Linked DNA regions of Mytilus edulis. Each later gene encodes a partner of the first gene's protein in a complex. Links are inferred from orthologs where the notes say so. Each region holds a gene or a part of one and is shown on either strand. Other genes may lie near its edges.

The links.
Region 2: transcription initiation factor TFIID subunit 6-like (region 1) and transcription initiation factor TFIID subunit 8-like share a complex: the UniProt entries of both Homo sapiens proteins name them as parts of the TFIID basal transcription factor complex. The link is inferred for Mytilus edulis from reciprocal best matches to the Homo sapiens genes TAF6 and TAF8.

What each region holds. Positions count from the first base shown.
Region 1 is NC_092352.1:41,337,323-41,350,015, forward strand, and holds the start of transcription initiation factor TFIID subunit 6-like, read left to right. Parts: upstream 1-6,126; 5' UTR 6,127-6,287; intron 6,288-9,884; 5' UTR 9,885-9,922; coding exon 9,923-10,081; intron 10,082-10,595; coding exon 10,596-10,682; intron 10,683-11,218; coding exon 11,219-11,372; intron 11,373-11,996; coding exon 11,997-12,214; intron 12,215-12,693. UniProt on the Homo sapiens protein: The TFIID basal transcription factor complex plays a major role in the initiation of RNA polymerase II (Pol II)-dependent transcription.
Region 2 is NC_092350.1:20,032,116-20,045,106, reverse strand, and holds transcription initiation factor TFIID subunit 8-like, read left to right. Parts: upstream 1-6,288; 5' UTR 6,289-6,403; coding exon 6,404-6,542; intron 6,543-7,280; coding exon 7,281-7,379; intron 7,380-8,273; coding exon 8,274-8,336; intron 8,337-10,046; coding exon 10,047-10,171; intron 10,172-10,444; coding exon 10,445-10,592; intron 10,593-11,280; coding exon 11,281-11,510; 3' UTR 11,511-11,524; downstream 11,525-12,991. Other genes in the region: zinc finger protein 43-like, read right to left, coding at 152-202. UniProt on the Homo sapiens protein: The TFIID basal transcription factor complex plays a major role in the initiation of RNA polymerase II (Pol II)-dependent transcription.

The DNA.
Region 1 (12,693 bases):
TATCAATCTTAAAATAGTACAGAGGCGGCGCACTTGGCATTATACCATAACATTAGCAGTGCAACAACAATGATTAACAAACTTAGTCTTAGATGCATGATTTTTTTATTAGTTGTTAGTGGTTTTGAACTAGCTGTCAGATAACTGCGAGTACTCTCAGATCTGTTCATTGTGTCTTTTTGTGTCGGGATGTATAAGTACCCGGCCACGTTCACTTGTATTTTTGTCAATCTGATGAGTTAAGCCTTTTTCAACTGATTTTTATAGTTCGTTCTTATGTTGTACTGTTATACCACTGTCCCAGGTTAGGGGGTGGGGGGTTGGGATCCCGCTAACATGTTTAACCCGCCACATTATTTATGTATGTGTCTGTCCCAAGTCAGGAGCCTGTAATTGAGTGGTTGTCGTTTGTTTATGTGTTACATATTGTTTTTCGTTCATTTTTTTATATAAATAAGGCCGTTAGTTTTCTCGTTTGAATTGTTTTACATTGTCTTATCGGGGTCTTTTATAGCTGACTATGCGGTATGGGCTTTGCTCATTGTTGAAGGCCGTATGGTGATCTTTAGTTGTTAGTGTTTGTCATTTTGGTCTTTTGTGGATAGTTGTCTCATTGGCAATCATACCACATCTTCTTTTTTTTATATTAATCAAATTAAGAATGGAAGTGGGGAATGTGTCAAAGAGACAACAACCCGACCATAGAGCAGACAACAGCCGAAGGCCACCAATGTGTCTTCAATGCAGCGAGAATCTCCCGCACCCGAATGCGTCCTTCAGCTGGCCCCCAAAGAAATATATTATACTAGTTCAGTGATCATTGAGGTCATACTAAACTCCGAATTATACACAAGAAACTAAAATTAAAAATCATACAAGACTAACTTGCATGGCCAACACTTGCAGAGCGTCGACTCGTCTAAAACCAGACCAGACCAGACGTGACGTGGTTGTGTATTTATACATCCAGTACAGTCAATAGGACGGCGCACTTTGACAAGGGTTTTGTTGTAGTTCGGTTGAAGACCAAGCTTGTTGAAGGCCAACAACAACTAATAAATAAAAATCATGTATCTCAGAATCAAAGTCAGAGTTTTGAGCATGTTGAGGTTCATTCAAGTATTTGTTGATAGAAGTTAACAGATTGAACCAAAAATCCAGTTTCTATACTAGTATAAGGTGGAATATAATGTTGTATACAATTATATTCTCCATTCACTAAGAAGGATATACAAGTGTACAAATGGCATTTGATAACTAAAGAGTTTTGACCGGCGCCTTTACGTGCATGTCCAGATAACTTTGTAAATGATGTTTAAAAATAGCAAAAAATATTTGTGAAAAACTTATGTCTAAAGTGCCTAGCGGCAGCTGAGCACCGATCTCTTTTGAAAAAGTAATTCAATAGTGAGAGGGGATATGACCTTTAACGGGACTTCGGGATCGGGTGTTTTTAAGCTCGGATTTCGGGATTGACCCTTTCGAGATCCGGGAATTCCCTTTTTCGAATTTCGAGATGTCGGGATTTAACTAATTTAAATTCGGGACCTCGGGATTGGCTGTTTTTAAGCCCCGGATTTCGTGATCAGGACCCCTCTTATCCCCCCTCAATAGTGGTCATTTAAATTGGTAAAGTGGAACATGCTGCCACGAGTTGTTATATTGTCTTCAATATTTAGATCTTTCAGAGGACAGTTGACACCCAAACTAACTGTTCCCTGCAACACCATCTAACAGTATAGATATCAATGTACATGGTTTTAATCACTTTCACATTTTCTCGAGTTTGTCGCTAAACATTCTAAAGACACAAAACTGCATGTGACATGAAAATTTGCAAAATTTGAATTATTATTGAAAGGACTTGAAAGTTGCACTTTTCTGTGATATGTTATGTTTACATTCTCCTCGTATGGAAACAGAACGGTATCTTCAACGTTATGAAGTTGTAACTTCATACCAGAAAAAAAAGTAGCCTGAAGGTCTTTTTTTTTTATAAAAGAGGGACGAAAGATACCAAAGGGACAGTCAAACTCATAAATCTAAAACAAACTGACAACGCCATGGCTAAAAATGAAAAAGACAAACAGAAAAACAATAGTACACATGACACAACATAGAAAACTAAAGAATAAACAACACGAACCCCACCAAAAACTAGGGGTGATCTCAGGTGCTTCGGAAGGGTAAGCAGATCCTGCTCCACATGTGGCACCCGTGAGGGTTTCTTATCGTCGAGTTGCAAGTTGCGAGTTAAGAAAGTCGAGTTGCGAGTTAAGCAAGTCGAGTTTCGAGTTACAAAAGTCGAGTTGCGAGTTACGAAAGTCGAGTTGCGAGTTACGAAAGTCGAGTTGCGAGTTACGAAAGTCGAGTTGCGAGTTACAAAAGTCGAGTTGCGAGTTACAAAAGTCGAGTTGCGAGTTACAAAAGTCGAGTTGCGAGTTACGAAAGTCGAGTTGCGAGTTAGGAAAGTCGAGTTGAGAGTTACGAAAGTCGAGTTGCGAGTTACAAAAGTCGAGTTGCGAGTTACAAAAGTCGAGTTGCGAGTTAGGAAAGTCGAGTTGCGAGTTACAAAAGTCGAGTTGCGAGTTAAGAAAGTCGAGTTGCGAGTTAAGAAAGTCGAGTTGCGAGTTACAAAAGTCGAGATGCGAGTTACAAAAGTCGAGTTGCGAGTTAAGAAAGTCGAGTTGCGAGTTAAAAAAACATTGTTTACACCGAATTTTCAGGTTTGATTCACATTTGATAAACAAAACATGCATGCACCTGAACTTAGTTATTCCCGTGATTGTGGGATTTGAAACAGTTTATGTGATACTTATTTATTAGAGTCTAATATAAGTTAAGTTCTGGAAGCATTTAAAAAAAATAATGTATCCTTAAAATGGACAAGATCGATCTTATTTAATTCAATGCGTTTACACTACAACAAAAAAAAAGAACCGATCTGACCATAAATTACCTTTCGTAAACAAATAATCCTAAAAATAGAATAGTAAAGGAAATTCTGCATCTCGCGCAAACTATAACACATTGCAAAATCATTGAGAAAATAGTTTGCTCATTGGAATTTCGTATGGACTTATTAATCATTATTTTGGATCGTACATCACAAGTCATTAAACAAAGATATGTGTGTAAACTATATATCTATCGCTAAATAACGAACGGCCAATGCGATTGATTGTTGGTTGCTTTACGCCGCATTAGCACAAAAAGGCTATATCACGGCCAATGCGTTTGAAGATGAGGATTTGCAGCAAACAAATAGAACTTATTGATTTAGAAGATAATAAAAAAATAGCCGAATCTATGTTTACTTTTCGTATTCCATCCATCATTTTTAAACACGCCGAACATGCGCAGATTTATTTTCATATCTGAATATATATTAACATTCACCTGACAAAAGCGATCGATCTAAACATTTAAACCTTGAAAAAAGATCGATTCAAATAAGATTAATCTTTTTAAAACTACATGTACATCGATATATATATATATATAGACTTTTTAAATCCGATTGAAGATCGATATTTTCCGTTTTCATTATTACATCCATCGTTTTGAAAAACGTGTGTTTTTGCCGCCAAACATAGGTAGTAATTTCCATGCAATCGTGACAGATATGTATAATAAAAGTGAATTATGTGCGAAAATAGATAATGTGCTTACTTCTAATTTGTATTCCCAAATTGAAGTAAACGAAGGGGATATTTTGAATCCCAACCTTTTTAAGATTTTTATAAAAGAATTTAACCGGATGCATTAAATGAAACCCTAGATGCTGTTGATATAAATGACCGCAAAATTGAGTGCCTCATCTTGTTATTTTTTGTCTAGTTCCAAGGCAAGTCTTTCAAACACGAGTGTTTAGAGGTCACTCTATCTAAAACCAAAGTTAATATGTTTAACAAACCTGGAAAAATTTTAAAAGAATATTTGTATTGCGAAAAAGATATAATAGAATGTGTTTACAATTATAAGTATCTAGGTTTAAAATGTATATTGACTTTTTAAGAATGGAAAGGGAGAGCTATACAAAAAATCACTATAAGCAATATTCAAATTGCGAACTTCATCATCTTACAATCCAAGTAATTTTACTCTATAACATATATATATATATAGTGCAGGCGATTTGGTGTCACGATATCACAGTAGCATGGGTTCGAATCCCGGCGAGGGAAGAACCAAAAATTTGCGAAAGCAAATTTACAGATCTAACATTGTTGGGTTGATGTTTAATTTAATTAAGTTTAAAATAACTTATAATTGACAATATCAAACATGTGAACACGTCTATATAACTCAAGTTTAAACCTAAGTGACTCAGTTTAATAAGTTACCCAATACTTTCAGAGGCGGATTTAGGAGGGGGCGGGGCCAGGGGCCCCCTTTTTGGGGAAAAAAAGTGTTTTCTTATATAGGGAATCACTGAAGCGTCACTGGAGCGGGCCCCCTCTTAGGTCAGTCAGTGGGCCCCCACTTATGAAAATTTCTGGATCTGCCACTGACTTTAAAAAAATACGTATGAAATCATGATGTAGTAATAATCATTTTATACTTTCCAATTAAATCTTACCTGTAAATGGCGCAAATATAGTTTTTACAATAGTATCTTTGACAGCTACATTTATAAAATAAAGAATAAAAATGGGGAATGAGTCAAAAAGACAGCAACCAAATCAAAATATACAATTCAACCAAAGGTCATTAGGTCTACAAATTAACACAGCGAAAAATCACACATCTAGAGGGAGCCCTGAGCAGGCCCGAAACACAATATAGATAAATAAAGAATGTAGACGCCATTCTATGCTGCTAAATATAAAGATGAACCAAAATTAAAATGTATACAAGAGCAACAAAGGCTAAAGGTTCCTGAAATTGGTCAGACACAAAAAAGCGGCGTGTTTAAACTGGTTTTATTCACGCCCATCATATCCCCTTTATTTCTAGCCAATGCATAAGACATATATAATTTTAACATCCTCAATTTTGAGTGTCACTGACAAACAATAAATTTTGCGGTCCCTAACGAATATTGCCCGGCTCCGCAGCTGCCCCCAAAAGCCCACTTTATACGAAATCTGCAGAAGGGGTGTTTTACATATATGAAATATAGTTTAGTTGCTATGTCCCTTTACGTTTAATACGACGGTGCTATGTATGAAATTTAAAAATAATTAAAATGCAAGCCATCTGCTGTATTTCAAAAGGCTATCTGCTTCTTCAGAAAATACTAAACGTAGTGATTATCTAGTCCATTTTATTTTTACAAGAGACTCAGATAGAGTCCAAACCACAAAAATAATCAACAACACTATATACAATTCTATAAGAAATCATCATTCCGAAATGTTATCAGTTACCCCAAAAAATTGAAATATTTTAGTTTCCACATTTTTACGCAATTCGACTTTTGTAACTCGCAACTCGACTTTCTTAACTCGCAACTCGATTTTCTTAACTCGCAACTCAACTTTTGTAACTCGCAACTCGACTTTCGTAACTCGCAATTCGACTTTTGTAACTCGCAACTCGACTTTTGTAACTCGCAACTCGAATTTTGTAACTCGCAACTCGACTTTCGTAACTCGCAACTCGACTTTCTTAACTCGCAACTCGACTTTTGTAACTCGCAACTCGACTTTCGTTACTCGCAACTCGACTTTTGTAACTCGCAACTCGACTTTTGTAACTCGCAACTCGAATTTTGTAACTCGCAACTCGACTTTCGTAACTCGCAACTCGACTTTCTTAACTCGCAACTCGACTTTTGTAACTCGCAACTCGACTTTCTTAACTTGCAACTCGATTTTCTTAACTCGCAACTCGATTTTCCTAACTCGCAACTCGATACTCGACAACAAGTGAAACTCGGCACCCGTCGTGTTGCTTATAATGTTATAATACATGATTTCAAAATGTTTAAAGTTAATAACCATAGTTTCGTTCATCTGGCGATTTTATGTGACTGTGTTGTTAATCTTAACTATTTAAACCTTTTATTTCCTACTAATATTGCTCTCACATAATAGTTTTAAAACATTTAAAAAGCAAAAAAAAAAAAAAAATATTCAGGAATCCGGAACAAATTCCTCATTCCGAACTTGTTTATATATTAGTTTAATAACTCTGCTTCCGGTTGTTTCGAGCCGAAAAAGATTCAGCTACCTGTTTTGAATTATTTCCTTCTGGGGCTGTGTTTCGTGCAAATAATTTAAATGTTGCATTGATTTTGACACTTTGTTGAATGCTTTCAAGGACAGGCATGTGGACAGCAGGTACAGTTTTTCCTTCATAGCCATAACTCATTTGCTTGCATAAACACTAGAGTAGAGTAATTACCTCCCCTTTTGGCACTTTTTGAACAGAAATTTAATTGCAGTCTTAAACTTGATAGGCATAATTTAAAAACCGGGTTGATTATTTTTTCAACTAGTCCGAGATTACTCTGATGTCCAACGGCTGTTTTGCCAGACAAGCAGGGGCCGTGGGATGTCAGAGCTCGTCCCATATCAAAAAGTGGATATTTGCCCACCCAAAAAAGATGCGCTGCTTCGTCGCTTCTGATGCCGACTGACAGCCTTGGAATTATATAAATCGGGCGTCAATCTGTTCATTTTTCATTTATCTCTTCATTTATGTAAGTTTCACCTACCTGCCAACCTTGATTTTTCCATATTTTAACAGTTTTCACAGTGACCCATCGATTTCAGCATTTTGCCTTTCATTTTCGAAGATAATCACGTGACCACGAGAAAACAGTGATGATTTATGCAAATGACCATACTGTAACACCTCGTTCATTTACAATGCAAGTTATCTAAATGTCCGAGAGCTTCAGATTGTAACGTGGTCAGAACTACATAAACATGTAAATGCTTCATACCGATCTCCTGTAAAGGAGGTGAAAAAATATAAATATTTGCATATTTTGAGTCTCAAGACCACAAACTCTCTTGCCATTGGGTGCTATAAACAGTTTCGTATAAAAAACTAGGGGTTATTCCCCGACTAAAAATAACCATGGAGGGAAACCCCTGTTTATTTACTCAATTGGTGAAAAAGTATCATGTTTTTTGTATTTGATTGTAAAAATTAGTTAATTAGCTTTGAATTAAAACAGGTTGAATGATTGAAATAATTTTTGAAATTATATTAACTTTACATGTTTTGAGGGGAGACAACACTGTAAACAACCTGTTTTTTTGGCAGTGAAAATTGAAAACTTATTTGCAGCCACTGTAGCTCTTTTTGGAGCAGGAAACCGTACCCTGAAACAAGATTTTTTTGAAAGGCCAGGTAAAAACCTACAAATTTCATACAGTTTTGATTATGTAAAATGTGCATGGATCATGTCTTCATGGGTGTGCACATGACCTGGTTTCAAGTTTTTGTTGTTCAAATTAGACCTTTTTTCCCCCATGTTCATTGGATGGAATATTTTTTATATATTAAAAGTACACATTATTTTTATTTCATTATAAACTAGTGAACATTCTGATTCCAGTGATATCTAGTTTTATACAAGTATCTTTATTAATCAGTCCACCACTAAGGGTCACTTATGCATGGTCCCTCAAAATGTGACGTCATAGAAAAAAAAACTGTTGATTGCACCCATTTGAAAGTAAAAGTCAAAATGCCGAAATCGATGGGTCACTGTGAAAACTGTTAAAATATGGAAAAATAAAGGTTCGCAGGTAGGTGAAACTTACATAAATGAAGAGATTGACGCCCGATTTATATAATTCCAAGGCCATCAGTCGGCATCAGAAGCGACGAAGCAGCGCATCTATTTTGGGTGGGCAAATATCCACTTTTTGATATGGGACGAGCTCTGACGTCCCACGGCCCCAGCTTGTCTGGCAAAACAGCCGTTGGACGTCAGAGTAATCTCGGACTATTTTTCAACATAATTTTATTTTTCAAGGATTGATTTATTGAAAAACTAAAAGCAATCTGATTAGTGATTAAATCTGTAATTGTAAACTCCCAGGTTTATACATTTTATGTATACATGTACATAATGTTCTAATTATTTTTGTCCAAATAATTATGACGTCTCGGAAGGCTATTTTAATCTTCTGCTTTGACCCCTTTAAAAATAGTCAATATGAACATGATGGAAAGGTATCCACATCATACTGCATGATTACAATGTATCTGAACTTGTACAGGTCAAGAATAACTATTAATTTATATGACATGTATGAGTGATAAATTAGTGGCTTATACCTCAATTTAAGTATAATCCACTATTTGACGTACATGTACAATGGGATACACCAATACGAATACGAAAGTTTTATTTTGATTCGGTTCACATATAGCAATACATGTATTTTTGAAAGAGTTTTTTACCGAATATAAAATCATTAAAACACAAACATGCAGACAAGATATATAACAATGTTACACAGCCTGACAGGCATATTGAAATACTAGCAAAGATATAGGAAGATGTGGTGTGAGTGCCAAAGCACTACTAAAATACATATCTAAACAGTTGAGGTATAATGCATTTTTTAATTTTATCCAAAATAGATTTTAAGATATACATGTACATGTACAACTGCTGTTGTTTTTTTTGTTTTTTTCTATGGTCGGGTTGTTGTCTCTTTGGCACATTCCCCATTTCCATTCTCAGTTTTATACAATGTATATTGGAATTTGGAGCATCTTATTCGGTTACATATACCATAACAAGCTTTGATGACCACTTACTGACTTAGCTTCCTGCTAATGATCATGGTGTTGATCAAGAAACCAGAAAAGTAAAATTTTGTTGAACTGATGTATAGGGAGTTGATTATTAAATTTACTTTAATAGTATTAGTAAACTCAGTAAAAAAACACTATTGTCTAAAATCAAACAGGGATATGCCAATTTTGCAAAATACATTTTTTTACTAATAATGCCATAAGTCACACATGATTCGTTTTAAGATATAAGACCAAATAAAATAATATGTTTGGTCCAGTTACCAGTACATGTATATATCTTAAAAAAAGTAAGGGAAGGTACATGTAGGTAGGGATTTTTCTTTCTTTCTTTCTTTTTTTTTTTTTTTACACTGCTCAAGTCTATCATGTTTATGTGAGCAACATAATGTCTTTAACCATTGTTAAGGAGGCTCTCAGGTATAAATCATTTTTTTTTCTAATATAAGATTTCGCTATATTTTTCTATAAATGAACTTTATCATATACCTAATAGAAAATTGAAATAAAAAATGGGGTCACCATTCATTTAAGCTCACAATCTGCCTCCAAAAGAAGCATACAAATTTGTTCAAGTCCTATTTTTCTGTTGAATTAATAGGAGATATAGAGGTATTATTGCAATAAAAAAAGAACTAAATTGCAGAAATCGCTTAAATTTTACAATTATTTAGTTTATGTATAGCTTATTTGAAAACAATAAAAAAAATATATAGGTCACTGATGAGTTAAAAAAGATATTTCAATTTTAATGCCAAAAAATGGCATTTTTGCACCAAAGGGACATAATTCAGAGCTTTTTCACTGATATTAACATTTTAAAAGTCATCTGGGGCCAAACCAAATCAACTTTTTGGGTTTTATTTTGTACCATAACATAAAGTAATAACTAATAGTGCAATAAATAAAATTTGTAATGAAAAAACAAATGTTTAATTTTTTGCTGCAATTTTTGTAACTGCTTAATGAAAAATGCCATAAATAATATCTTAAGAATTTGCTATTATGAAGACTGAAAAGTAGCGTAGGTAGGGTAACTAAAACCACACATATATTTTTAATTGGCACAATGATAATGTACTTTGTAGTTTACAAATCAATATGTAATAATGTATTAATAATATTTGACTAAATGAATCAATTATACATTGTAGGATAAATATTGCCAAAAGACATGAAAATGTAACTTATCATGGCTGATAAAGAACACAAGGACCATAAGATCAGCAGCCATCTTACTTCAGAGTCTGTCAAGGTCGTCTCTGAGCAAGTTGGGATTGTGGGATTGCCAGATGATGCAGCACAGTATCTAGCAGCAGACTGTACATACAGAGTTAAGCAATTAGTACAGGTGTGCAAGTAATAAGATACCCTACTCATAGATGTAGAGGGGATGGTGAAATCCAGTTTTATGTTTTCTGCCTTCTTTATATTTTTTTTGCTTAAATTTTACCCTTATCCATCTGTACCTCCCAAAGTTGGTTTCCTTTCTCTTACATTAGTTTTCCTCAACCAAATATTATGAAACTTACATACAATAATAATAACAACATAATATGGATCAAGTTCAAATTAAGGAAGGGTCACTTTTGCCTTCATGAGTTTTGCCCCTTTATAAACATTTTAAAAATTGCATAATTTTTCGTTTTTGTTGTCTATACTACTTACTATATTTAAGACCAAGGATTTATAGTTTGTTACTACAAACAAGAAACTTATTTTCAGTTCAGTAATTTGTCAAAAAACATGATACTAAGTCAGACACAAATATAAACTAAAGAAATAGTTTATTTATGTAGTGGAACCTCATGTTCATTTATACATGTGCAGCTTTTTCAAATTTACCTGTGAATTGTACATTATAGGAAGCAATCAAATTTTCTGGACATAGGAAAGGACAGAAGCTGTCAACCTCTGATTTTGATCAGGCATTGAGGTTAAAGAATGTGGAGGTATACTTATCCTTAGACATAGATAAATGTATAATACATGTATGCAGTACTAGTATAAGTTGCAGATCAAAGAGACTGATCATGTTACATACAATTTATTTCTTATAAATTGATCATTACAAAATGGTTTTTTGAAGAGAGTACATGCCATTAGATAAAAGAGTAGGCAACAAAAGTTGTAATATCTCATGATTTCAACCAGATAGAGACTATCTACATTTGTCTTTTCATGAGAAGAGGAAATAAAATATCTTTTGTTTAGTACAATGTGGTGACGAGAAAGGTTTACCATGATTATGCAAAACATGAAATTTTGTGTCTGTTTTTATATTTGTATAAAATGTGCACCAAACATTTCAAAAGAGAGTGAATGAATCAAAAAATTATTAGAAATCTATGAAAATTTAATAAATCTAATAGAATGTATATAGATGTATTTATCATGTTTTTTTATGAATAAATAATCTAAGAAATGTCAGAAGTAGCTTTCCATTTGGTAAATTATACAATTTCATCAAATTTTCAATATTTTACAGCCTCTTTATGGATTTCACAGTAAAGAATTTGTACCATTCCGTTTTGCTAGTGGGGGTGGAAGAGAGCTACATTTTACTGAGGAGAAAGAGTTGGAGTTATCAGATATCATCAACACTACACTGCCTAAAGTCCCTCTAGATGTGGCTTTGAAAGGTGCAATTATTTATCAAACTGCAAATTTATTATTATTTCTAGATGTGCATTTTTGGGGGTAAAGACGAATCACAAATTTTTAATATTCAACAAATGCTGTCTTTGGTTCAAAATGAAATACAGAGAAATCCAATATTTATGTATTGACATATTTTCCTTAATCTATGTATATTGATATCTTGAAATCCACTATAGCATTAAAAATAACTTCTCATATGATACAGATGAAAATTAATTTTAATTAGAATTTGCAACAGAAAGCATACCAAAGAGTGACAGTTTGCTTTCTGCATTGTGCATTCAAAATTAATTGGTGATATCATATATACAAAAAATGTATTAGTAGATAGGAATTTGGCAATTTAAATTTATTGTCATTTAATGTTTTTCTATCAGCTGTTTTAGTATGATTCATTTACAAGATAAGTAAGATTGAGAAAAACATACTGGCAGCATTAATCATCTGCTTTAACATGTTTAATTAAGCAGAAAAAAGGTTATTTGAAATTAAACAACATTACTTTAAAAAATATATTTTTCACCTCTTTTTGTATTTATTATTTTTTATCATAAAATAACACTTATCAAACAAAATTAAATATAGATATGTTGTTGATATTTTAGCTCATTGGTTATGTATTGAGGGTATTCAGCCTACAATACCAGAAAATCCTCCTCAAGCCAGCAAGGATCAACAGAAGAAAGAGATATTAGATACCAAAGTAAAGACAGCTATTGACAACAAACCACAGAAGCCTGTTGTTCCAGAGAAGTCTCGGCATCGACATAAAGCTGTTGATTTGGTTAAAGTCAAGGAGTTATCTACCCATGAATTATCTGTGGTTTGTATTTTGTAGTATGCTTGTAGTCGGGCAAGAATAAATTATTTCTTTAAATTGTAATATGTCTTATTTTTACTGTGCAACCACTTAAATACAGGCTTTCGTAATGCATTGTAATATGTCAAATTAAATAATTTGCTGTTGGTAGTATATCCATTTTAATACCAGAAGCCTTGAAATGAGTGTTTTGCAGAGGTAACAGTTTCTTAAATTGCTTCATATATTAAGGTCATGAGCTCTTTTTTGGTTAGAAGTTATGAGTATGTTTGGAATTTGTTTGGAGGTTGTTTTAAACATTATTTATATTTGGATGACATCTTTTGTCAAGATTTTACTGATGGGCAGTGAGAAAAGTAACCCATAGCAAAGAAATTCTTCCATATTTATTTAAATAATATAGGGTTATTGCATGAATATTGGGGAATATTGTCCCGAGTAGAATTTTATATTGCACGAGCTTTCGAGTGCAATATATGTTC
Region 2 (12,991 bases), on another chromosome or scaffold:
TTCTCTATATGTACCATTTGTGTTCATTTATTGTAATTTATATGAAACAAATATATCAAATATATTTGCAAATCATTGCAAATGAAGAAATGTTGCTTTAAACAGGATTCAGCAGCAAAGTTTGTTTCTATTAATTATAGTATATTATTACCACAGGTTCTAGTTCGTCAACCAGCTTGTAAACAAGGTCTGCCCTTTCCATTGTATGTCAGCTGTCTCTTTATAACTCTAGTCTAAACCTTAAAACTGAAATAAATAATGCAATTGAGAAATATTTTTCAACCAAATTGAAGTTTGGAATTACATACAAGATATATAGTTCTCACAGACGAATATAGTACTGTGCTGAAATGTATCAACATTTAGTGTGTATTCCTAACTGAAACTAATCAACTATGGACATACATGTCAGAACTTTTTAAAAAAGCTGAAAAAAGAAAAGGAAACTTCCTATATTTTTATATACTGTACATGTTACATGTGAGTGACCATATATTCATTATTGAATTAAGTTTTAAATTCCATCAGTTTATTAATAATATTTTTTAGTGTAACTTGGAACCAATTTTCTGCATAAACTGTGGTAAATTTTTTAAAATTCATATAAAAATGATAATAATAATATTTTTTAGTGTAACTTGGAACCAATTTTCTGCATAAACTGTGGTAAATTTTTTAAAATTCATATAAAAATGATAGAAATCTTCATTTCTCTAAAAAAAAAAAAAAAAAAAAAGTGACAACAAAATGTATTTATCTATCTGTAACTGCTTTTCAGCACACAATTGAATTACAGTCCATATTAGTAACATTACGATGAAATTACAAGATATTTTATACAATGTGTGTAGGCAAGAATGCAATCTCAACTGAAGCACAACAAATATATTTGGAAACCACTTTTCTGAACAAATTTTGGTGTATTTTTAGTACCTTCATGTATGCCTTTGACCTTTTATGTTGTGATGTCAAAAATTATTATAGATTTTTGTCTCAATATATATGACCATACATTTGTACATTATGATATACTAAGGCCTAGAAAAAAAAAATTTGGTTCAGGTAACCCTACCCCACCTAACAAAAGACCCTGATTGTGACCCTTTTTTTTTTTATAGCAGTGTACAAGTGTGTGATAAATATTTCCAGAAGGTCATCCTGAGCACTATCATCGTGGGAACTCTTAAAAATTAGAAAAAATACCCAACTACCCAAACAATATTTTTGGGACATGTTACCTGAACCAGACAATTTAATTGTTTAGGCCTACATGTAAGTTAAGATTGCTATCCCATATGAAGTATTTGATTTTTGTAAATAATTAGCACAGATCTGGAAAACACTTTTTTTTCACAAATGTCAGTTTATTTTTGGTAACTACAGTACAATACTCCCATGGGAGGATTGCATTATTTATAAAGAAAGAAAAACTACAACCTTGACCTCAAATTGAAACTTTTATTCCGGTACCACGATTTCCCGAGAAATACAAGAACTTTTATAATATCCCCAAAACAAACTGATATATCCCGATAAAAAGATTTGTTATGGTGTTATGCTACTTTTAATGGTGTTACTGTTTACTACTTTTAACAATATCAAAGAATATTAATTAAAGATATTTCTCGTTTTTCTCAATAAAAGTGCAATTATGTACACTTCAAGAATTCGATGTGTATGATACACATCGAATTCTTGAAGTGTACATAATTGCACTTTTATTACTATGCCTTGTATAAAAACTATAACTTCTGCCATATTGTTTTCAACAAGGAGTTTGCATACAAGATATACAAATCGTTTTTCTGAAGATTGTGCATACTTTTATTAATTATGAACGCCTTAATCCTTATAATTGTATGCTGTTACACTAATTTAACACAGTATAACACCATGAAAATCTTGTTATTGGGATATATCAGTTTGTTTTGGGGATATTACGTTGTACTTGTATTTCTTGGGGAAATGGTGGTACCCCTTTTATTCTGGATTTTTTTTTTCTATTTTTAAACAATAACCTTGACCTTTGACATGGTGACCTAAAAGTCATTAGAGTCAATAGAGATGTACCTCTCATTATAGAGACTGTTCATTAATGATTAATTACAATCTCAATCTGATATCAAATATTTCTGTAAGCATCTTGAAAAGAAAATTACTTGCAGATTGACAAGTAAAAAAACTATCTCCACTGCCAAATTCCCTCCTAATTTCATAGTATGGGTAATTTGAAACAGCCATTGGAGACATGGATGATGATGATTTGGTAGTGATGGATTCAGGGGGATTTAAAAAAAAAATGGGGTTGGGTTCTGGGTGGTTCCCCCCTTTTATTTCGAACGATCAAGGCATTTGAATGGCTATATACACCCTATAAAAACTTAATGTAAAGAGTGGGAAAATGTAAAAAATAAATTAGGTTATTGTAACAAGGATTTGTATAGTAAGATCCTTGGTAATAAGAATCAGTTATTTTATTAGTACATTTGCATATCTATCCTCCATCCTCCAATTTAGGAGGGTGTGCCCTGTGTCTTACATGAGGCACATTGGCCATTGCAGCTCAAACAAAGTTACATTTCCAAATAATAATCAATGTTTCTATCAATTACTTTTAAACAATCAATGAGAGACAAATCAATGAACAGTTATCATTGTGTGATATTTCTAATGTGCTAGTAAAACATTGTTTGCATTATGCAATGTCAATAGAACTAAGGTTATAGGATATACCCGCAATTACAGTGGTGAGAGGTGCTCCGTGTCCCAGTTTGAAACTTTATATTTATTGTTTCATTTAAATTGCAAACCTGAGAGGTAACCTTTTCCATATTCAGCTGTCTTAAATGTATAAATTTCGATGGCAAGCGTGTTTTCAGCAATATAACCTCTGGCAAAAATGTCACCGCCGCAACACCATCAAAAAGAAGTGTTAAAACCTTTCCCACAGTCCTGAGTAATATACAATTTATGTCGGACGATCCCGGACGTTTTCGAATTCTCAGTTTTTTCTGTAATGTTCTGTCCTGTCTGTGGCAGGGCAGAAGAGCGACATGTATTTATGGAACTTCAACTAAATTTGAAAAAAATATGTATTTTCTATCTTCTTCTTCCTGGTATAAGCCTCCTTTAATTAGGAGCTTTTTTAAATGATAAAACAAAATTTCCAACATATGTACAGCACATATAAATAAACAATAAACAATAGAAATGTCATGCAAGGCATATTTTCATGGACCTTTTTATTGCAAACTATTCTACCATACAAGTATATTCACTTAAGTATGTGACTTAGTTTTATTTATATTTAAAATTATGTTTCATTTGAATTTGCTTTTTAATATGCATAAAATGTACATTAAAAGGAGGTTTCATTTAATAAGATCTATGTATTAAAATAATAATAGGTTGTTTGCTTCAATATAATCAAATGACATTCTGATGTAACAGGAATCCAATGTTGATTTCAGATTCATTATGTTTAATGTATAATAAGTATATGAGATTACTAAAAATAAATAGAGGTAAAATATTACAAAGTGCATTTACTGCAGATCAAGAATTATCTAATGAAAACTTAAAATGATATTTAAAGTACTTAACTAAACTTGATACAAAAAAAACAACATTTTAAATAGTGATAAGATACTTTAGGCAGCAAGCTGACATACAACTACAAAATATCAAATCTGGAGCTGTGGACAGTAAACTGGTGCTTTTCAGTAATATTTTTGTTCCAAATTTTGTTCCCTACTATCTTTAAACCAATCTTACAAAAAATATGAAAAGACTAGTAAAATTATACAACTACGTATCAGTGCTCATTGTTTAAATATAGAACGGGGTAGATATAATAAACCCCAAATTCCAAGAGAACAGCGTTTTTGCAAATTTTGCACTAAAGTAGAGACTAAAGCACATTTTTTGATATCTTGTGATAAATATAAAGATATAAGGCAAACTATTTTCCAATCTTATGGTTTAGATTTAAAAGATTTGTGTAATGAATATTTTTTAGTTTCTAAACTTTTAAATACCGAATGCGTTAGAAATAAGAAACAATTTTTAAAAATATGGTTACAATTATATTATTATATATATATTACATGTGACACTTTGAAATGTTGTTTTGTAATATTTATAGTTATCTTAATAATAAAGAAGATAACTGACATATATATTTACATTTCATGATTTGGTAAAAAAAACCGCTCAGACTATATATTATAAAGCAAAAATTCTCTAAAACTGACATTATCAAGATGTTTAGTGTTTGTTGGTTGGCTACATATTTGTTACTTTAGGCGGACGCTTTCGAGATGTTTCGGCCACACTTCTAGTTCGTCCACATGTCGTTTCGGCCACCAATCAGTTCAGCCACAGTAGTTTTGGTCACATTCTAAGTTCGGACATTCGTTTTAATGAAATTCATATTGTTCTTATGCATTGATTGGTTTGGCAGAAGTTGGGTTTGAAAGGAATTTTTCTTACCAAAAAGTATTTTTGTACAAAATCGGATAAAAAAAATGCAAATAAAAATGATATATTAGAAAAAAAAATGGATCATGAATAAATGTCAAGGACGTAAAGTCATATGCTTAAGTATTATCTAGGGGAAGCCTATATATATATAACTATCATATTATCATATCAATTAATATCAACATTTTACATACCAGACAAGAGATTATATGTATTACAATTAAGTGGTGAGATTCTTATAAAACATTGAATCTGAATGTAATGTTCTGCTACTATTTCAGGTTAATTAGGGTGAAAGTTGGCACCAGTTAAAACGTTTAAACCTGTTGTATTTGTTTGCACCTGTCATAAGTCAGGAACCTGTAGTGGTGGTCGTTTGTTAATGTAGTTCATAAGTGTTTCTCGTTTCTCGTTATTTATACAGATTAGACTATTGGTTTTCCTGTTTGAATTGTTTTGCAATAGTCATTTTGGTGTCCTTTATTGCTTGCTGTTCGGTATGAGCAAAGTCTCTGTGTTGAAGGCCATTCTTTGACCTTTAAGTGTTTAATTTTAACAAATTATGACTTGAATGGAGAGTTGCCTCTTTTGAACTCATACCACATCTTCTTATGATTATCAAAAGTCCATTACTCTAGTATCCAGCTCTACATCGTAGCTTAATTTTCTTCCTTTTTATTTCCGGCTTTCTGCTCTAGCTGCTTTTTATACATTATTTTATACGGATCATTGAGCTGCTATAAAAAGCCAATTTATATGTTTATGCTTTTTAGTTTGTTAGTCATTGCTGGTTCTCACCCATGCAATGCATATGAAGGTGTTTGCAGCCGTGATGAGCACCATCATGAAGTGACCCTGGACGTCCAGAAATCACTTTTTTTTTTAAATTATTTTATTACATTCACATAGGCTACTTTTTTTAAAAATCTTATTTCTTAGTACCTGAATGGAGGCTGAGCAGTGTGATTTTTATATGATAGTATGAAAATTTTTCTCTGTTATGGTGAACATATATGCCGACTTTAAATTCTTTATTCCCAAACAAACAAAAACAATTTTGGTAATAGCAATACAGATACAAAACAAACATAATAAAAACTCAGCAATAATAATATACATGTTAAATATAAAAAAAACAAAGCCCATACCGCATAGTCAGCTATAAAAGGCCCAGAAATTATTGGTCTCATTTCCTCCGCAGTGTATTGCAATTTACATATTTTTCAATACATTTTTAAAGGTTTTTCTATTATTTAAATTAAGTTTACAGTTAAAGAAAAGGTGGAATTCATCAACTAAGATGTGACATATTTTACATTTTCTTTCATGTCTTGGTATTTTTGTATATCGTCCAGTTTCTGATTAAAAACCAATGATCACTTATTCTAAATGTAGTTCACATTTTTACTTGTTTCTTTTTTGGTGAGTAAGGTTGTGACTATTATTCCATTTGATTATTATATATATGAGATCATCCTTGATGAGATTTACGAATTTTCTTTAGATACATTTAATGACTTTCATTCCGCTGGTGTTGTTTATTCATTATTAGCCGGAGAGTTTGATAATAATTAATATACCTTTTTTTTTAATTAGGATTTTAACTTTTTCGTCTGTTTTTGTGACAATTTTTTAAAAGTTTATCACGAGTATGTTCCTTCAGTATCTGTTTTTTTTGGGTTTTTTTTTTATAGCTGGGTTAGATAACATTTAGGGACCTACTTTCTTATTTGGTACGTGACTAGTCGATTCATTAAACAAACTAATTTCGGTTAATACCTGTTTTCATTCGGAATGAGACCTGAATACCTCTAGACTTTACCTCAGGAAACAAACATGGAAGTCAAAGTGACAACAAAAGCCCATTTATTGTTGAAAACGATCAAATAATGGAGTAATTTACATACTAACCACAGCAAAAATGGCATCCGAAAATGACCAACATGCTGTTTCATCGCGGAAAGCATTAAAAGTGGCAGTTAGTGCACTGTGTTTAGAAGTAGGGTTCCAGACAGCTGAAGAGTCAGTCATTGAAACATTGACTGAAATGCTGGAAAGTTGTAAGTTGTAAAAACTGTATGCCATTTCAATGCTTTATAGAAACTAACTGAAACAACTCCAAAAGCCTTAGGCCTTTGAAGGAACAATAGCAGCAGGGAGCATGATACTGGTAAATACACCTTATGTCAAATTATGACAATTTGTCAGACATTAGTAATGAGGGGGGATAGGACCTTTATCGGGACTCCGGGATTGGGTGTTTTTGAGCTCGGGATTTCGGGATCCGGGAATTCTTCTTTTCGATTTTCGGGACCTCATGATTTAGTGATTTTAAGCCGGGATTGCGGGATCTGATGTTTTTAAGCCCGGAATTTCAGAATCAGGACCAGTCCTACCACCCCTCAGTAATTACTGGACATCACAAAGGTTCCCGTAAAATTTTGACGTCACAATAGAAAATGTTTGACTCCACAATGGAAAAATGATTGTTGTTGGATGTCAAAAGTTCAACCGGCGTATCTTTAAATATGACTTTTTTCTTTTTTTTTTACCCTGTTAAATATATACTTTTAAATACTAAAAGTCTTTGTTGTATATCCAAGATCTTGTGCTGTGCTTTTTAGTGTGAATGTCAATCTGATCAGTCAAGAACCTTACCTGGGCCATTGGTGTATTACCTATGAACATTATTTGTATTTGGATAATATTTTTATTAACACCTAACATAAATAAAATTACTTAAATACTATTAGAGAATACCATGATATTTTTAGGAACTCCTTTATTTTTACTTAAAGTTTTAATGGAGCTTGGCAGGAGTACACAGGCCTTTGCAGAATTAGCTGGCAGAACAGAAGGAATCATGACAGATGTTATAATGGCTTTGATTGAAATGGGTTTGTATTATATATTATGTATGATACATGGTTATACATATATAGATATAGGAAGATGTGGCATGAGTGCCAATGAGACAACTCTCCATCCAAGTAACAATTTATAAAAGTAAACCATTATAGGTCAAAGTCTGACCTTCAACACAGAGCTTTGTCTCACACTGAACAGCAAGCTACAAATGTATAAAGCGCCCCAAAAATTACTAATGTAAAACCATTCAAACGTGAAAACCAATGGTCTAATCTATGTATAAAAAAAATTGTTATACCCCTTGCAAAGTTTGGGGGTACATGTATATAGGAACCATGCTGTCTGTTTGTCCATACCAACTTCACTATTCTTTATTTGATTTATTTCAAACTTTGTAGATTAATTGATCAGGATATGCAAGCATCACCATTTGAAGGATTTTTCATTATGTTTAGAATATCCATGACTATGTCCCTTTCATCACAGAAATGTTTACCCTTTTTAGAAATTATCCTGTCCTCCTTCATGGTTTGTCATATCTACATGAAATCTAAAATTGAGAATGGAAATGGGGAAATCGGGCAAAGAGTGTGTCAAAGAGACAACAACCCGACCATAGAGAAGGCAACAGCAGAAGGTCACCAACAGGTCTTCAATACAGCGAGAAATTCCCGCGCCCGGAGGCGTCCTTCAGCTGGCCCCTAAACAAATATATATACTAGTACAGTGATAATGAACGCCATACTAAACTCCAAATTGTACACAAGAAACTAAAATTAAAAATAATACAAGACTAACAAAGGCCAGAGGCTCCTGCCTGGGACAGGCACAAAAATGCTGCGGATTTTGTTGAAAAAATACCCATACAAAAGAGATAAATATAAATTTTTTATCCATGTATAAATTTATGTTTGCATTTTTAGGTCAAAATATTCATGCATTACCAGGGCATGCAAAAAGACCAAATAAAACAGTATTTCTCCCACGTAAGTTTTTCAAGACAGACATGTTTTACACAATTGCATATCATGTTTATTTCACAAAATAGTCCAAGTGTTTGATAAAACAAGAGTAATAAATTACACAAAAAATGCCATATCTTAGTGAAAAAATCTCAAGGCTACAAATATTTTTCTAAATGTTCCTTGAAATTTCAAATTAAATGTTTGATTTCAATAAAATTGGTACTAGTTTCTTACCCACTATTCTCTCTTTTTGGTATAATATTTTCAAATATAGCAAATTTTACAATTTAAAATGGAGGAAGTTTGTTATTTGCATAATTCAACCTGAAAATTTATGAAAAATGTATTCAAATTGAAAAAACTTTTTATGGATAGTCAATTTCAGTATCTTAAAAATCTTGATTGTTGTCAATTGCAGAGTTGATATTGGCATTATTTTTACTTTAAATATTGTTGTAAAATTGACATGGATTTTTCTTTAGCATTGATCTTAAAACTTTAAAATATGTACATGTATATGCAGTGGTCTCGCTAGCCCAAAATAGAAGGGCGCCGCGCCCTGGGTGCCCTCAGCCGCGCCCTGGGTGCCTTCATCCGCGCCCTTCTGCCCTGACGTCTTTTTCCAAAATTATCTTGTGCCGTTTTGGTAAAATTTTGTTTCATCGATTACTGATCTCCAAGTTAATTACATATATGACACCTGTGTGATTGCCCCCAGGTTAATCATGTCATTACAATCAATTACAATGATAAAGACTTCAAAGGTGTTAATAACTAGGTAATTTAATTAGGACAATGTATCTTTTTGTCATACTTTTGATGAATGTGTAAGCGAGTGTGTTTAGCTTGGGTCAGCATTTTCGATCTCCAAGTCACAATGGAAGAGCGTATAAATGAAGACTTTCATGACTTTAGAATTGAATTTAAGTCATCAAAATAAAACTATGCCTTTACAGAAATGCCTTCCATCTCAACTTGTTAGCGACAAGCACAGTTTTTAATTAACCCAAACGTGGTGGAAATTGATTTTGGAGTTACTTCCCCTGTTTTAGCTTATTACAAATTTGTGCTCTAAAAATATTATCTAGTATCAAAAAAAGGAATATATTACCAATTGAATATATAATAACATAATAATGTTACCTTAAAGATATTAACTGTCTTTGAACATATTAAAAATATATATTGCAATTTCTACTTGATAATTATACTTTTAGCAATCCATGTTCTAAACATTGTTAAATTAGTAATGCTCAGCTTCACATCATATTAAGAATTAAAAACTACATATATTTTGATAATGGGTAGAGTGAAGTTAAACTGTAAAAACATAATATGTTGATGAAGATGTACTATATCATTCATAACTACACAACAATGAAATAAAGACTATAGTTGAAAAGCATCTTTATTTAAAAAAAAAAACATATATACAGTAAAAAAAAAAAGAGATTCGTTAACTCGTGATACACACAGAAACGTAGACAAAAAAATGAGCAGTGCCTTTTCTTATCATAAAAAGTGCCCTTCCCTCCACTGGCACCCTGCCCCTTTTGATTTCTAGCTAGAGCACTGTATATGACAAGAATATTTTTAATAAACCTTTGGGCAAAATTACCATAACCAACCATTCTTCCTAAGAGTATGTTAATTGAAGTACTACAGTATCCAGCAGTGAATTTGAACTAGATACACTTATTTAATAACACACTCTGTCTTTTATTTTTCCAGCGGCACACAGTGCTCCACCACCCAATATTAAGATGTTACAGACAGGAGATCGTAGAGAGCATCCTTCACACATACCAGATCATCTACCTCCATTTCCTGATCCTCATACATACATCAAAACTTCTGTAAGTTATACAATTGGAAAATGATATAGAATTATTCTTTATGTTTTTGTAGGTAGTGTATTTTGATGCAATTTTATTTCAACAAATATTAAAAACTTAGCTCCAAACTGTACAATGAAATTTGTTAAAATATGAATTAGAAGAGATGTGGGATTCAGATACATGAAGCTGCAATCCAATGCAATTTAAAAAAAATTTAAATAAATAAAATAAAGATCACCAGTTAATCTTATGCATTTTGTTTTCATGTAATTTCATCCCATTCTTTTGTAGACAAAAAAAGCTCCAATGAGCGAATATCAAATGATCAGAGAGAAAGCAGCCTCTCAAAAACGTGATGTTGAGAGAGCATTAACAAGATTTATAGCTAAAACAGGAGAAACTCAGTCCTTGTTTAGAGATGATACAACTACATATCCTTGTAAGTTTTGATTTGATGCTGTATTGATTTTTAACTTTAAACTAAAAATGTCAAGAAAATTATTTAAGGCTATTTTACAGGTGTTCAAATATTTGACACCACACCTCCTCAAATATGCACGATACTGTACACTTTGTAGACATGAACATGAACATAAATTGGATTTTTTGTTGTTTCAGTACATGCTAGTTTGTTGCTTTTTGTGTGAATCTGCATAATATATTGATTTTATAACAAGATATTTGTTACCTTGCTTCAATTTCTAATATTTGCTTTTGTTTCAATTTTAAATCTTTGCTTTTGTAGAATGCATTTGCTTAATTTTATATAATGGTATTCAGCTTTTTTTTTTTACTACTGTGTAAATATTCTGTATTTAAGTCACTATAATGCATCTTATTTTTTAATGGACTCTTCTTTTTTGTGTTAAGCACTTTTTACAAAACTAGGGGCATTATTTATTGATGACTTTATTACAAGTACATGAAGAAGAGGAAGATCCAAGTTTTACAAAATTGGTGATGATGTGTGTTTGTGTTCTACGCTCCAAAAATAAATTGCTTGCAAAAATTGGTTGGTTTATAGTAGTTTAAAGATTTTCGTAAAATCAGCAAACTAAAAATGTCAACTCCAGCTAACTTTGTGAACAGTATCAAATCTGTAGATTTCCAAACTGTTTTTATTTCAGTAATTGCAGTTAAACCTATGCCTTTGCCATATTTGAATGCATTGCTTCCAAAAGATCAAGATCTAGATTCTCAAGATCAACCAGAGACCACAGCAGTTAAAAAACGCAAGAGAGCACCAGAACAGTCTGAAATAGTGGGAGATAATCCACAAGGAGTTGATACAGATTCTATAGACAATCCATATTTGAGACCAATGAAAATTGCCAAATTCAAGAAAAGATTAAAATAGTTATGATTTTAAAATGGTGTTATTCATACTTTCATATTCTTCCTCCAACAGTATTAATCTTGAGGTTTCTAGTAGTATTTTCATTGTATTGGTGAACAATTTGTTCATCCTGCTAACTTATTTTGTGGCCTATATATATAAAATTAAGAAAATGTGGTATGATTGCTAATGAGACAATTCTTTAAGAGACTGAATGACACAGAAATTATAGCATGAAGTTTGTATGGGACATAAAACCTCAATAAAAACGGTAGAGTTTAAGGTTAAAACCAAATTTAATATATTCAATTAAAACAATTGAATAAATTTCAGTTTTTATCAAAGAATTGCTGATAAATTTTTTACTTTTCTTTTTTGATGGTTTTTATTTGTTCAAAGCCTTCCCTCAAAAAATATTTTATTGTGTTTTCTGCCTTGCTTGTTTACTTGATTACTCTGGAGTTAAGCAGTGATGCCTTATTTCATATCCCTTTTAAGCTCTCATAGAATATCTTGTCAGTTCTCGTTTGGTATTGCTATAGGATCACACCTGATTGACACTGACTGATATATGTGGTAATTTAAGACTATAAATCTGGCACTCCTAAAGCACTTTGCCTAAATAAGTTGGAATCTTCGTTTCTTAAATATTTCGAAATTTATCAACAGAATTTGCAAAAGGACTTTAGTATGTGGTAAATCTTTTCCACTTTCCTGAGATTACCTGGTCTTTACTTCCCATGTGCACCACTACAGTATTGAAAATTTGACCAGTAAATGGTCATCTTCTAGAGAAAAAGTTGAAAAATTGAAATGTCAAGGTCAAATATTTTCATACACCAAAAATAGTTGACCTATTTACATACAGTATCAGAAAAATAGACCAAAACACAAAAACTTAACTTTTAACCACTGTACCATGAAAATGAGGTCACAGTCAGATGACAGTCACACCTGCCAATTGGACATGTACAGCTTACAATCATTCCCAAACACCATATATAGTAGACCTATTGTTTATATTTGAGATATGAAGTTGACCGCAAAAACTTTACCTTGTTCACTGATCCATGAAATGAGGTTGTAGTAAAGTGAAAACTGTTAGATAGGCATTGGGACTTGCAAGGTACGTACATAACAAATATGGTTATTCTATTACTCAAAAGAGAGAAATGAAAAATACTTAGTTTTAACTCTATTTTCAAGTAGTCACTAAACCATGAAAATGAGGTCAAGGACAATGGACATATGACAGACGGAAACTTCATAACAAAAGACATTTATATAAAAAAGAATCCAGGTCTGCATTCTGAAATATTTAGCTTTTAAAAAGTTAGTTAACGCCGCCATTGCTGCCATAACATTATCCCTATATCAAGCTTTATGAGACGAGTCAAAGGCTCGACAATAAACCTATCATAATATCAAGGCAACAGGTCTCATGCACCCTAGCATATGATATTATAGCCTTTCCTCCTAATTAAAAGACTGTAAATACCGCA